3 linked regions of the Rattus norvegicus genome follow. The protein of the gene in region 1 interacts with the protein of each later gene in a biochemical or structural test. Links are inferred from orthologs where the notes say so. Each region holds a gene or a part of one and is shown on either strand. Other genes may lie near its edges. The genes, in order: Eea1, Rab31 and Rab5c.

Region 1 (4,363 bases):
AACCTAACAGAGAGGACAGCATCCTAGCAGCCCCATTGACTCACAAGTTGACACTGCATTTAGCTTTTCCACAAGTCCCTAGGATTACTAGCTACAGAGAAACCTTACCCGAGGTGTTCAATGCCTCTTTCTTTTGCACAGTCTTTTTGCAAATTGGGAGCCCACCCAGGAATCCTCAATTCCCAGGCCTTTCTGACTACTCCCTCAGCTCCCAGGTCATTAGGTATAGTCAGTATCCTAAGCCTCACCTTGTGCAGTTTAGTCATCTAGAACCTGCCAGAGGCCTCCCAAGCCTGGGGGAGAAACAATTATTACAGAACAACCTCGAATGTACATCACAGAGAGTTTTAAGTGACAAATAACACAGAAAACTCACATCCTAGTTGGCAGTTGCAGGAAGAAGCAAGCAAGTAGTTAAACAGAAGCCAAGGACACGAAGTTAGCTGGGGTATTTCAACTCCTTGCTTTTAGAACATGGTTAGGTGCTTTCCCATGGAAGGGTGTGTGTGTGTGTGTGTGTGTGTGTGTGTGTGTGTGTGTGTGTGTGTGTGAGAGAGAGAGAGAGAGAGAGAGAGAGTGAGAGAGAGAGAGAGAGAGTGTTTTAGCTTAAAACAAAGATGGCTCCAGCCGAACTAAGATGAAGAGACCTTTGCCCTGTCACAAAGGAATAACCTCAAACTTCTCTAGTTAATCCAAAACCCAGCCTCCTCCCATGCTTTACTGTGGCTCTAGCTGCAATTAGAAGCAGGAAAGCGGGTAAACTGGGACTGGAAAAGCAGAGGTTAGCCCAACATGGTTAAGTAGGCCTCGGTTTCTCGGGTTCACACTGGCTTGGAGCTTAGTGGTCGAATCAGCCTTTCCAGCCAAGAGGAGGATTGGGCTCAGGGTCGACGCACTAAGAGCGCTCCAAACTTCCATCATAAGCTGGAGCTCGGCTGAAGGTAACACTGGAGCCTGTTCCTCCAGCCCGGGGTGGGGTCACCTCCAGGAGGGACTCATGAGGTGTCCACTCAGCTTCTCCATCAGGATGCAGCCCTCTAAATTCCTGAGCAGGGTCCGGCGCCCAGAGGTCCAAGCGCTGGGCGGAAGAAGCTGAAGAATCAGCTTCCTGCCGCCTGTCTGTCACGCCTGACCCGCTTCCGATTGGTCAAACCCTCAAGCCGGGCCCACCTCCTGCCCCGCCCTCCTGCGGATGGACAGGCCGAGGAGGCGGGGCTGCAGCGACTCCGCCCCTCGGCCACGGCGGGCGGGCCCGCCCAGCTGTCAGTTACGGGGGCGGCCCGGCAGGCGGGCGCTCGCTGGCTACCTCCTCGCTGGCTCGTGCTCGCAGCCTCTCGCCGCCTGTGGGGAAGTCGGGGCCGCCAAAGCCGCGTCCACCGCCGCCTCTTCCCCGCCCTCCTCCCGGCTCGGCTGCCGGCCCTCGCGCCCTCCAGTCGTGAGTAACCCGCATTGGGTGCGGAGAGTCCCCGCGGCGGCGGCGGCGGCGGCGGCGGCGGCTGGACAAACCATGTTTCGGAGGATCTTGCAGAGGGTAAGAGTGAAACCGTCCTTCCGGCAGCACGTGAGCGCGAGCGTCCGAGCCCTGGTCGCGGGCAGCCCGGGCAGGCGGACGGGGGTGCTCGGGGCTCCACTAGGCCCGGTGGCAGCGTGCGCCGAGGCCTGCAGGTCCTGCCGGAGCCGGGCTGCGGGTGGGGCGGGGCGCAGGCCGGAGCCCGGAGGCCCCAGGCCGGCTCCCGCGCGGGGCTGTCACCACGGGCTGGAGGGTGTGGTGCCCGCGCGTCCCTCCCCGCTCCCCGCCCGTGGGTGCTAGGCTGTGCTGGGCGGTGGGCGGCTGCCGGGCCCTTCCCTGCTCCAGCTTGCCTCCACTTACCCCACAACACACACCTGCCTCTCGACGCTCTGCTTCCTTACTCTTCTGCACCGTACAAGAGGGTAATGGGAGACCCGGCCTAGTGCTGGGACTTAAAGAAGCTTAACTGCCAAAGTGGAGAAGGAAGATATTACTCACTGTTGGAAACTTTCTTTTAAGAATTACAAGTGCATTTTCCTTTCCAAGACCCAGAGCCTCATTTTAGTTATCCAGGAATAAATGGATCAAAAGGCAAATGCACTCCAGTTTAGTTTCTACTGGGGCTTTCTCAATGTAAAATCTGGAAAATCTTGAGGGTAAAAAGGTAAGAGCGTTGGAAAGCCGTAGGTGTTTTGTTTAGGTACCAGTTCCTAGAATAACATAATTAAATTCTCTTCTAATAAGAGTTGCCTACTCAAGGTTTTGTTTTGGATGGCTTCCATTCGCTCACTTCTGAGACTGGTTAATGTAAAGAGATGTTACCTAAAGAGTAGGAGAATTAGTTCAAAGGACAGGAACTTAATGAATGTGTAGTACTTAGTTAAGGAATGTGCCAAGGAGGGTTGAGTCAGCTAGTACACAGGAAGGGAAGATTCTGTTTAGACAGCTTCTGTGAAACGTTGAAGTCATCTGGTCATGCATCAGAGGAAAAATAGTTAACTCCTGCCTCTGACCCTCTGGAGTGACATTTGAGTTCTTTTTTCCTTTTGCAATCGTTTTGGTAGTTTTTTGAAAATTTGATAAAGCGGTACTTTGGTAGCAAACAAGGGCATACCCTTTTCTCTCCTCATCAGTTGCCTTGTCTAAGAGTAAAGGCTTCTGTGCATGATTGATTATTATATGTATATATATATATATATAATATATTTGTCATAGTTACACAAAAGAAAAGGAGTTTGTGGTTTTAAAGTTTATCAACAGTGTTTTCTGATTTGGGAGTTGCTTCTGGTGGCTACAGTCTGACTTTCAAAAAATGTGGGTTGCTTTCCAGTTTTGAAGACCTGGGATTATGTGAAGGTCATTCTTAGTATTGTTTGTTTATCTGTTCTAGAAGTCTCTGTCAAGACCAACACATGGTGATTACTGTGGTTACTGCTGAGATGTATTACTGAATCCTCATATTTAAATAAACCAGATTGACAAATGGGCTTTTCAGCCTTGGAACTAGAGATTCTTGTGAGCAAGTCATTCTGTCCTAGTGGTGGCCTAGGATGTATTTGTCAGTAGTTAAGGTCATCCATACTTCTATTGAGTAAATGATAGCAACATTACTTCCAATATTATATCTGCTTTGAGGCAACCGAAATTATCTCCAGACTTTACCAAATGTTCTCTAGGGGCTAAATTGCCTCTGGTTGAGAGCCACCATCATGTATATGTGTATGTGTATATGATGTATATGGATATATCCATCAATAGAAAATCTTGAAATGTCTCTTATAGTTAATGTTCTCTTCTACAGTGTGTATGTTGAGCTTCAGTAGGATTCAGGCATAATGTTAGGAGCTATGAAATGGTTTTTAATAAGATGTGGCCCTCCCTTTAGAACTCAGTACCTGGTTGGGGAGGTGAACATCAAAAAGTAATTACAGTGCTGTGAACTGGAAGAATGAGGAATGCTCTGGGAGCTACTTTGGAGGAGGGTGTTAGGCAGTTATGATAAGCTTCGGGAAGGAGGGCATATTTATAGCTTGAGAGCAAAGGACATTGTCAGGCTGAGGGAATAGCCTTTATAAAAGTATGGGACCATTAAAGGAACAAAACATGCTTGGGGGAGATGAACAGTTAAGTTTAAGAAGTGAGATGGTATTCAGGGATGGGTGGGATATGAGGCTACTCTAGTGAGGAGTGACCAAATTAAGAGAGGAACCTGTAGCTCTTTGAAGGTGTTCAAGTCTGCCTTTGATGACGATAGGACTTGTGATCTATATTACTAATGTAGATCCTATACTGGGTGTTTTTTATTAACTCTACAGGTGTTTTTTGCTAACAGGTATAACATGAATCTTTAAATTTTGTAAATGTCAATTTTATTCACTTTGCCTGTCAACCTTATTTCTCAGCAATGGCATTAAGATACAAAACTGAAACTATACACACTGATTTAGAGCTTTGCTGAGCAGTCTCTACGCTTCTAACTACATCTCACTGCCCTTCACATCCTGTTTTTAGATGACCTTTTATTTTGACTATTATAATTTTCTTCTGATTGGTATACTTTAGATAACATTTTGAAAGACAAAGGACATTACACATATAATAAATTCTAGCTTAGTCTTTGAACATTACTAGGCAGTCCTTAGGATACATCACAGAAATTTTCTTCTTCCTCTTCTTCTATTAGCTTACTAAAGGTGTTATTGAGGCTTAGAAAAGTCTGGAAAGATGGTAATGGTGATTAAGACACTCTGATATGGATGTGAGGAGTAAGTATTTTGATTCAGATACTAGCCTCGTTACATTTCTGTTGCTGTGATAAACACCATGAACAAGGCAGCTTGTAAAAGAAGGTGT
Region 2 (4,107 bases), on another chromosome or scaffold:
CCTGCTTAGAATTACTGGCATATGCCTCTCAAGGGTTACTGACCTAAAACAGGGAACTTCAAAGACAAGGAGGAACTCCAGACCCAGGGTACTGATAAGAACACCTGTCCAACATGAAAGTCAGGTAATGAGAACTTCTGCTGACACTGGGCCTTGAAACTACAAAGTCCACATCAACAGCTAAAACTTCCCTTTCACAAATCCCTCTTCAGCCCTATAAAGCCCGAAGCACACACTGGCGGCCTCCACTGCATGAGAGACAACTGTTCTTCATTGTTCTCATTAAAGGATGGTTCTGCTTCTGTACTGGTCAGTCTGTTTCCAGGTTGCCTGGTCAATCAGTTTCTAACAGCCACCACTCCTGCGGGCAGGGGAGCCACATCCAGTGTTGTTGAAAACACATGCTTACAATTAGAAGTGCCAGTAGATTTAGATTACTCCTCAAGAGCCGTCATTTGTATACAGCAACAAATGAAGTCATCCCAGAGGCTGGAAGGACACTGGGCCATACAAAGACCAGAGGGCATGGCCCCTCAGTGTGAAGCCATGCTGCACATAGCCTCAGTTTCCTAGTAGAGGAGTCTGCAGAAGGGTTGTCAGCCCCCCACTCGTGGCTGTTCTTGTAGCTGGGCTCCTGCCCACACAGCTGTAGTATTTTCTACATGGAGAAAGGGGGGCTTCCTCTCCAGAGTGCACCTTTCCTTTCCCAGGCCTCAGTGCTCCAGTTTTGGAAACAGAAACAGTTGTTCGCTTCTTGGCTGCTTCTCGAATCATCCCTGAATCATCGTCCTTTGCCGCCGTACAGAAAAAAATGCGCACAGGGTAAAGTGAAGTGTTGGGAGGAAGCCTGGACGCTAGGAGAGACAAGTTAACCCTTTCCTCTCCTCACCCCAGTCCCTGGCCGCCGCTGTTTCTTACATCTAAGAGGTCAGAGTTACTTTATGGTGGGACTACCCAGGGACTTGGAAGTTCTTCCTTGGGACCAAAGCCAACAGCATGAACTGGACGAATGGCTCTTTATGATGCGACGGGTTGTGTCCAGGTCTCCCAAGGCAAGTGATGCTCGACCAGACTCCGAGCTGATCGCGGGAGGGGACGGTCTGCCCGCAAGTCCGTTGTTGGGTGGTCACCGGAGGCCGAAGCGGGACCGGGGCCGGGCGGAGCCGAAGCCCCGCGGCTAGGCTAGACTAGACGCGTCGGGAGGAGCCGGCCGGCGGCACGTGACCGACAGCGGAGGCCGCGGCCCAGAAATAGCCGCCTCGGCGGTTCCGCCCCGCGGCCGGCGAGAGCCCTGGGAGACGGCTGGACGCAGGCTGGGCGCGGTGCGGCCCGGACGATGCTGCTGAGCCCCGGCCCGGCCCGACCCAGAGCACATGATGGCGATACGGGAGCTCAAAGTGTGTCTTCTCGGGGTGAGTCTTGGCCCCAGCCTACGGGGATCCCGGCTTCTACGCGCCTTTGTCCCCGCGCTGCCCGCCTCCCGCGCGCTCCCCTGGGTCCCGCGCGCTCCATCCCGCGCCCCACACCGGCCGCCGGGTCCCAGATGCTCCGGAGCGCCTCCGGTCTGCGGCCGCGCGTCTGGCAACCTTGGGGCTCGCCAAGCTGCAGGTCCGGCAGGGCGGGGTGGAGGAGTGGGAGGTTGGGGGTTGTTGAGAACAGGACGACTGCGGGTCCTGCAGCCCCTGAGCCCCTACGGCTTTTGCCTCTGCCACTGGTGGTTACTTCCCTGAGGAATATTTAAGTCACTCCGCGGAGGCTCTGGTTTTCCTCTGCCTCCTGCAGGGGTGGGTAGAAAGCGGTGGTGGCAATTGCTTTATCCTCTCAGAAAACAAACCAACAAACCAATCCTTCCAAGTAAGAGTGGGAGGACCGGGGTTTTGGCCCCACTGCGAAGCCTTAAGAGCAAACTATGTATGAACTGTACGTCCAGCACACTTTCCGTGCAGTGGGTGAAAATGAAGCAGGATGAGAAACACCCGCCCCCATCACCCTTCCTCTTCCAAAATGAGTGTCAGTCCCAAGAAATATAAAAGCAGTCAGAAACAAAGAAAGAAAAGGCATCCAAACCCTGAGACCGGCAGACCAGACTGACATACTCTGCCACTGTGCGCTGTCCCCTTGAAACGCCCAGGGGATTCGGCGTAAGGGGTCATTTCTTTGGGGCTACCCACACCAAATTCCGGAAGTCTTCCCAAGTAAGAGTTGATGTTAAGCCTTGTTTTCTGTAGTCTTCTGCAGTCTTCTGTAGTCTTTGGCATTAGCACCGGGCATACTGCCCTTGAAGTTGGCAAATCTGGCCCTGTAAGGAAAAGTATTTCCTAAATAAAAGAGTAGGGCCACATCCATTCTTCTCAAAGAAATGCTAATGGGTCTGTCAGGGTGGATGTGGAGGTGAATACAGGCAATGACTGTGGATTAGGGTCGAATGCACCAGGAGCTTGTGGTTTCATCTGGGCCCCCTCGATGGAAGGAAGTGTTGGGGACCGAACCCCACACTGCCCTCAGCCCTCCACACTTCCCACTAGTTGCAGTGGTTTGTAGAGAATCCCAAGGGTCTGACAAAGACCTTTTCTTCCTCTTCAGAGTCAAGCAGAGTCTAGGGCTCCTCACCCAGGAGGCTGGGCAGGATGCTGCTCTTGGAGTTCTCCTTTGAACTTTTGGTGTCATAGGAGCAAGCTTCACGTCTGCGGGGGAATAGTCTAGAACTAGGAGTCCCACAGGAGAAAGGCCTTTGAAGATTTCAAAGGAACATCAGGCCCCACGAAAAGGAAGCTTTGGTGCTAGGGCCATGTAACAGTTAGCCATGGGGAACGATGAAACAGGAAACACGTTTGGCTGTTGGAGGTGAGTTACACCTCTCCCTTTGCAATCTACCTACCGAGGTGCTCAGGCTCAGTCCCATTGACATTTTCTTTAATTTGTAGTTTCAGTGTCCTATTAGGACAGTGATGAATGTGGCAAGGGCTCAGAACCAGGAATCAAGAGGCCTGGCCTGTCTTCTGCCCCAGGGCCTGGAAGGGCTGAGTAGGTAGTTAAGTGGTTTAATTGTAGACTGGACATATCATCCTTTCTCTTTGAAGGCAGAGATCTCTATACTCGATGGTCTCTTACCGGGTGTGTGTGTGTGTGTGTGTGTGTGTGTGTGTGTGTGTGATGTGTGTGTGTGATGTGTGTGTGTAGTGTGTGTGGTATTGTGGTGTGTGTATGTGTGGTGTGAGTGTGGGGTGTGTGGTATGTGTTTGTATGTGTGGTGTATGTGGTATGTGTATGTATGTGTGTGTGTGGTGTATGTGGTATTGTGTGTGTGTGTGTGTGTGTGTGTGTGCGTGTGTGTGCGTTTATGTGTGAGTGACCATTTCCTGCTGGTCTGCGATGGTGAGAAGCCTGGGTGAGATGACGTAACTGGAGAAACTCTTCTTTTTCTCTCCATCTCCACAAACAAAGCAATCTCCACAGGCTTCCTAGAGGCAGTGATGGTGCCTTATTTTGATTTTGGTCTCTTTGTGATGGCCCTACAGATAGGAATTTAAACGGGGGGTGGAGGACGCTATAACGGAGAAAGAAGAAAATTCTGGAAGTTTTGAAACCCCATTCATCTCATGCCACATCAGCGGCTCCCTGTTTTGAAGGGAGCTTCACATTTTAGTGTTGCCAAGGTCAGAAGATACTTTATTTCAAAGAGCAAGCGAACTGGCCCATACTGAGTACCAGTCCTTAGGCTTCCAGGCTTCTCTTGGCTGGTCTTTTTCTGGGCCAGATGTGACAGTGTGACTGACAGGGTGCATCTGTAGCTACCTACCTAAATACCCTGGCTGTATGTTTGAGGTGGTCTTAAGATGCTCTTTAAGGGAGGTCCACAGCCTTGGTATACTGCCTGCTCAAATTTGAGAGATCCCCTGTGCTTGATGATGGAGTCCTCAGTGAGTCAGTCCTACAGTCCTTTTAGGATTTCAGCAGGAACCCTAGACCTTGTTGTCATGGTCAGGCACACCTGCTCTGGGTGACTCTCAGCTTCCTGTTTTGTTTTAAAGCTATGTCACAGATCCCTTGAAGCCTTATATACCCTGCCAGCTTTACCCTCAGTTGCCTAGAAGGTGGCATAGTGTA
Region 3 (3,599 bases), on another chromosome or scaffold:
AACACCAAGGGTGGGCGTGGTCCTCATTGTTCGCCCCAGCAGGGAGAACAGCCTGATAACAAATGAGCCTGTGTGTACTAACCCGAGTAGCCAGTAGTGTCCTGACTCTGTCACTTGTATACTGAATGGCCTTGACCCGGGCACTTAATATTGTCGAGTTATGTCTATAAAAATAGAAGGTTATGTTAAAGCTCAAAAGAGATAATAGTGCAGTTCTCCTTGAGTGCTAGCTCCGTCTGTCAGAATGATTGCTGAGGTAAGCACTCTGAGTTCCTAGAACACGCATGGGCATTGAGAGCAAGCTCTCCCAATGAAACTGTACAGGCCTTGTCTTTCCTGTCCAGGGTGACTGAGAAAGCATCTTACCTATGGCATGTCTAAATGACATTTCTGGTTAGTAATCATATTGAAGATTGCCGCCGCCCCCCCCCCCAACTTCCTTCCTTGTACTTTGGGGAAGAGGTGGCCCCCATTTCAAAGCTTTTTTTTCCTTTAGTGCTGCCCAGAAAGGAAACAGTTGCTCCTGATTAGTGAGTCATTCTTCCTGAAGCTCACTTTTAAAATGAATTGTTGGGAGATTCTGGATGTGCAAAGGATTTGAGGCTGAACAAAGCAGGCCCTTTGCTGTCAGCTTCTTACAGGGACACAGAGCTTCCCACAGGCCTCTGTTCATCATTTCCCTGTCCCTGGACTATAGGGGATACACTCCCGTTCAGGGGAAGTTCAGCTCTCCCTATGTGTGTTCTGATATCTTTCGACATATGTTTTCTAGAGGCTTCTCATCCTTCTGTGCAGTTTGGAAGCTTCCAGAAAGTTTGAGTTTCTGAGGCTGAGTGGTAAACTCAGGACTGGACCACCAGCTGCTAGGAAAGTAGGTCTCAGTGTCATGTTTGCCTCCACCCGTCCTCCCCCTAAGCTTCCTTTGTGTCACCTCTGCCTCTGCCAGTAGGCAGTGGAAGCTAGGTCTCTATTTAAAAGGGAGAGCTGGCAGCAGAGACTTGGGGCAGAGCTCCGGCCACAGAGCATGTTTGGTTTTCTGTGTGGTTTGTTTTTTAATGTGTGTGAGACTTTAGGCCCTTCCAAAACTGAAGACGGGAAAGACGCTGAGGAAGTGCAAGGGAGCATGCTTAGATTCTGGTGTACAGCCTCAGAAAGGCAAGAAAGTCAGTCATTGTGCTGTGTGGCACAAGCCTGGCCATTCTGATGACAACTCTAGCTTGCCAGGTCTTGCTCTCCGAGTACCATAAGCACCGTATCTGAGGAGCTGGCTGCCAGGGCCTGCTGTGCCTTCACCCACCTCCCCACACTGCTCCTGCAGAGTAGGCTGTGAGCCTAGTATTAGACTACAATCTTATTGTTTGATGACCTAAATCCTAGTTGTCTTCCAGGGCCCTCTTTTGGGGGAGTGCAGAGGTAGAGCTCAATGAACCTGTTGACTCATGCTGGTATCCATTCCTCTCCTGTATTTTTTTAAGTGAATTTATGTTTTTGAGAGAGGGAAGTCTGAGTTTTTGCTCAGGAACCATGAGCCTAACGTTGGGAAGCCATTTTGCTTGGTACCACTCTGCGGGAGAGAGTATAGTTCAATGTAGTAAAGACTTCCTGTTCAATCCTGTGGAAAGGGCTGGAAGTCTAGGGGCAAGAGCAGTTACCCAGGTCATCAGGGAGGGCACCTTTGACAGTCTCATTCTAACTCCCTACTTCTGATTTCTCCCCTGCAGTTGGAGGCCTCCCTTCCCATTAAGTGCCTCTTTGCAAAGCACCGACCCCACCCCCACGCTCACTGGTACTACTACAGAGCATCGCACCATGGCGGGTCGAGGAGGTGCAGCACGACCCAATGGACCAGCTGCAGGCAACAAGATCTGTCAGTTTAAGCTGGTCCTCTTGGGCGAGTCTGCAGTGGGCAAATCCAGCCTGGTCCTCCGCTTTGTCAAGGGGCAGTTCCATGAGTACCAGGAGAGCACAATTGGAGGTGAGTGAGCAAAGGGAGTCGGGAGGCCAGAGGTGTCTGGAGGAGAAGGAAAGCTGTGCATACAGAAACTGGGTCTGACCTTGGAACACCTTTTTGTCATTGGGCTCTGGAGTTGAACCCAGCAGTCAGAAGCAAGGATGCTAAGAATTACCTAGGGATTGAAACTGGCTTTCTGCTCTAGTCTGGCCTCTATTATTTGTGTGGATGTGAGGCCTTTTTTTTTTCTTCCCTGCAGGGCAGTATGTGTGTCCTGTCCTCTGTCCTCTGTTGCTGTCCTTTGTTCTTTCTGGAGCTCAGAAGGTATCTCTGATTCCCCATTGGGCAGCATTTAGGATGTGAATAAGGGTCTAGACTCAGTCTCTCACATCCTTAGTCAATTTGAGCCTCTCAAATTTGAGCCAGCCTTGACTTGAGTCTTCCTTCTGCTCTCCTGGTTAGTAGATTTCAAGGCAGCTGGAAACAGAATGGGCCATGTCAGCAGTCTTCTCACTGCCTCCTCAGCTCTGTTAGGAGTTAGAGAGAGGGAAGTGAGTTGGCAGCCCAGGCTCTTCAGGGGGCTGGGGATGTGGGGAACAGCAACAAGGAAAACCGCTTCCCACAGAACTGTCATAATCTTCTGCTGAGTCCAGGATATGGGGAGTCCTACCTGTCTACCTGTCTGTCCCAGCTCTAGGATTTTCCTTCAAAGCATGTTTGCCTCAACCTCTCACATCTATAGTCCTTGTGAACCTCAAGAGGCCAGGGCTACCCATGGACTTGAGTCTTCCTTCTTTGCTCTCTTGGTTGGTAGGAGGTTTCTAGGCAGCTGTGTTTCTGTCTCAGGTAGCATCTGTATTCAAACCACAGGTTGGCCATACAAGAACAGTTCTGAGTCACAGTGGGGATAGTGGCTTGCTGGAGTGCCTGGAGGTGGCAGGGGTAGTTGGGAAGCCAGCCACCCAGCCACAGCCTGGCAGTGTGACAGTGTATATTTCCCAGAGAGAATACCTTCCCAAAACTGAAGGTCGCTTTCACCCCTGAGCTGAAATGGGTCTGTGAAGGGCAGCGGAAGGAAGGCTAGGGGGAATGGAAGCTTACCTTTTCGAGGTTGGCATCAGGGTTCCCCCATGCCTCCCTTATCCAGCCCCTGCTGTGCTTTGCAGGGTGGCTCTGAAATGACTCAAGTGCAGACACTTCCCAGACAACATAGAGGAGCATAAGCCCCACCTGCCCTGTGTGGACAGGCTTCTACATGCCAGAATCAACAACAGAGACACCCAAGTCAGGGTGGTTTCCAGCTCCTCCTTGCCTAATGACAGCACCTTTTCTCTTGCAGCGGCTTTCCTCACACAGACTGTCTGCTTAGACGACACAACGGTCAAGTTTGAGATCTGGGACACAGCTGGGCAAGAGCGATATCACAGCCTGGCCCCGATGTACTATCGGGGGGCCCAAGCAGCCATTGTGGTCTATGACATCACCAACACAGTAAAGACTTTCCTTCCTTTCTCTTTGCCCTTCATTTCTATTTGCCCATACCCAAGAACTGGGTTATAAAAACTTCATTTTTCAGGCTGGAGAGATGGCTCAGTGGTTAAGAGCACTGACTGCTCTTCCAGAGGTCCTGAGTTCAATTCCCAGCAAC

Evidence for each region.
Region 2: the proteins of Eea1 (region 1) and Rab31 form a complex in vitro, tested with the Homo sapiens proteins (2 studies listed by BioGRID). The link is inferred for Rattus norvegicus from reciprocal best matches to the Homo sapiens genes EEA1 and RAB31.
Region 3: the proteins of Eea1 (region 1) and Rab5c form a complex in vitro, tested with the Homo sapiens proteins (2 studies listed by BioGRID and IntAct, with this or other methods). The link is inferred for Rattus norvegicus from reciprocal best matches to the Homo sapiens genes EEA1 and RAB5C.

Annotation. Positions count from the first base shown.
Region 1 is NC_086025.1:32,490,287-32,494,649, forward strand, and holds the start of Eea1 (early endosome antigen 1), read left to right. Parts: upstream 1-1,507; coding exon 1,508-1,531; intron 1,532-4,363. UniProt on the Homo sapiens protein: Binds phospholipid vesicles containing phosphatidylinositol 3-phosphate and participates in endosomal trafficking.
Region 2 is NC_086027.1:112,825,269-112,829,375, reverse strand, and holds the start of Rab31 (ras-related protein Rab-31), read left to right. Parts: upstream 1-1,283; 5' UTR 1,284-1,373; coding exon 1,374-1,412; intron 1,413-4,107. UniProt on the Homo sapiens protein: The small GTPases Rab are key regulators of intracellular membrane trafficking, from the formation of transport vesicles to their fusion with membranes.
Region 3 is NC_086028.1:86,145,931-86,149,529, reverse strand, and holds part of Rab5c (ras-related protein Rab-5C), read left to right. Parts: intron 1-855; exon of another isoform or gene 856-871; intron 872-1,721; 5' UTR 1,722-1,809; coding exon 1,810-1,975; intron 1,976-3,290; coding exon 3,291-3,442; intron 3,443-3,599. UniProt on the Homo sapiens protein: The small GTPases Rab are key regulators of intracellular membrane trafficking, from the formation of transport vesicles to their fusion with membranes.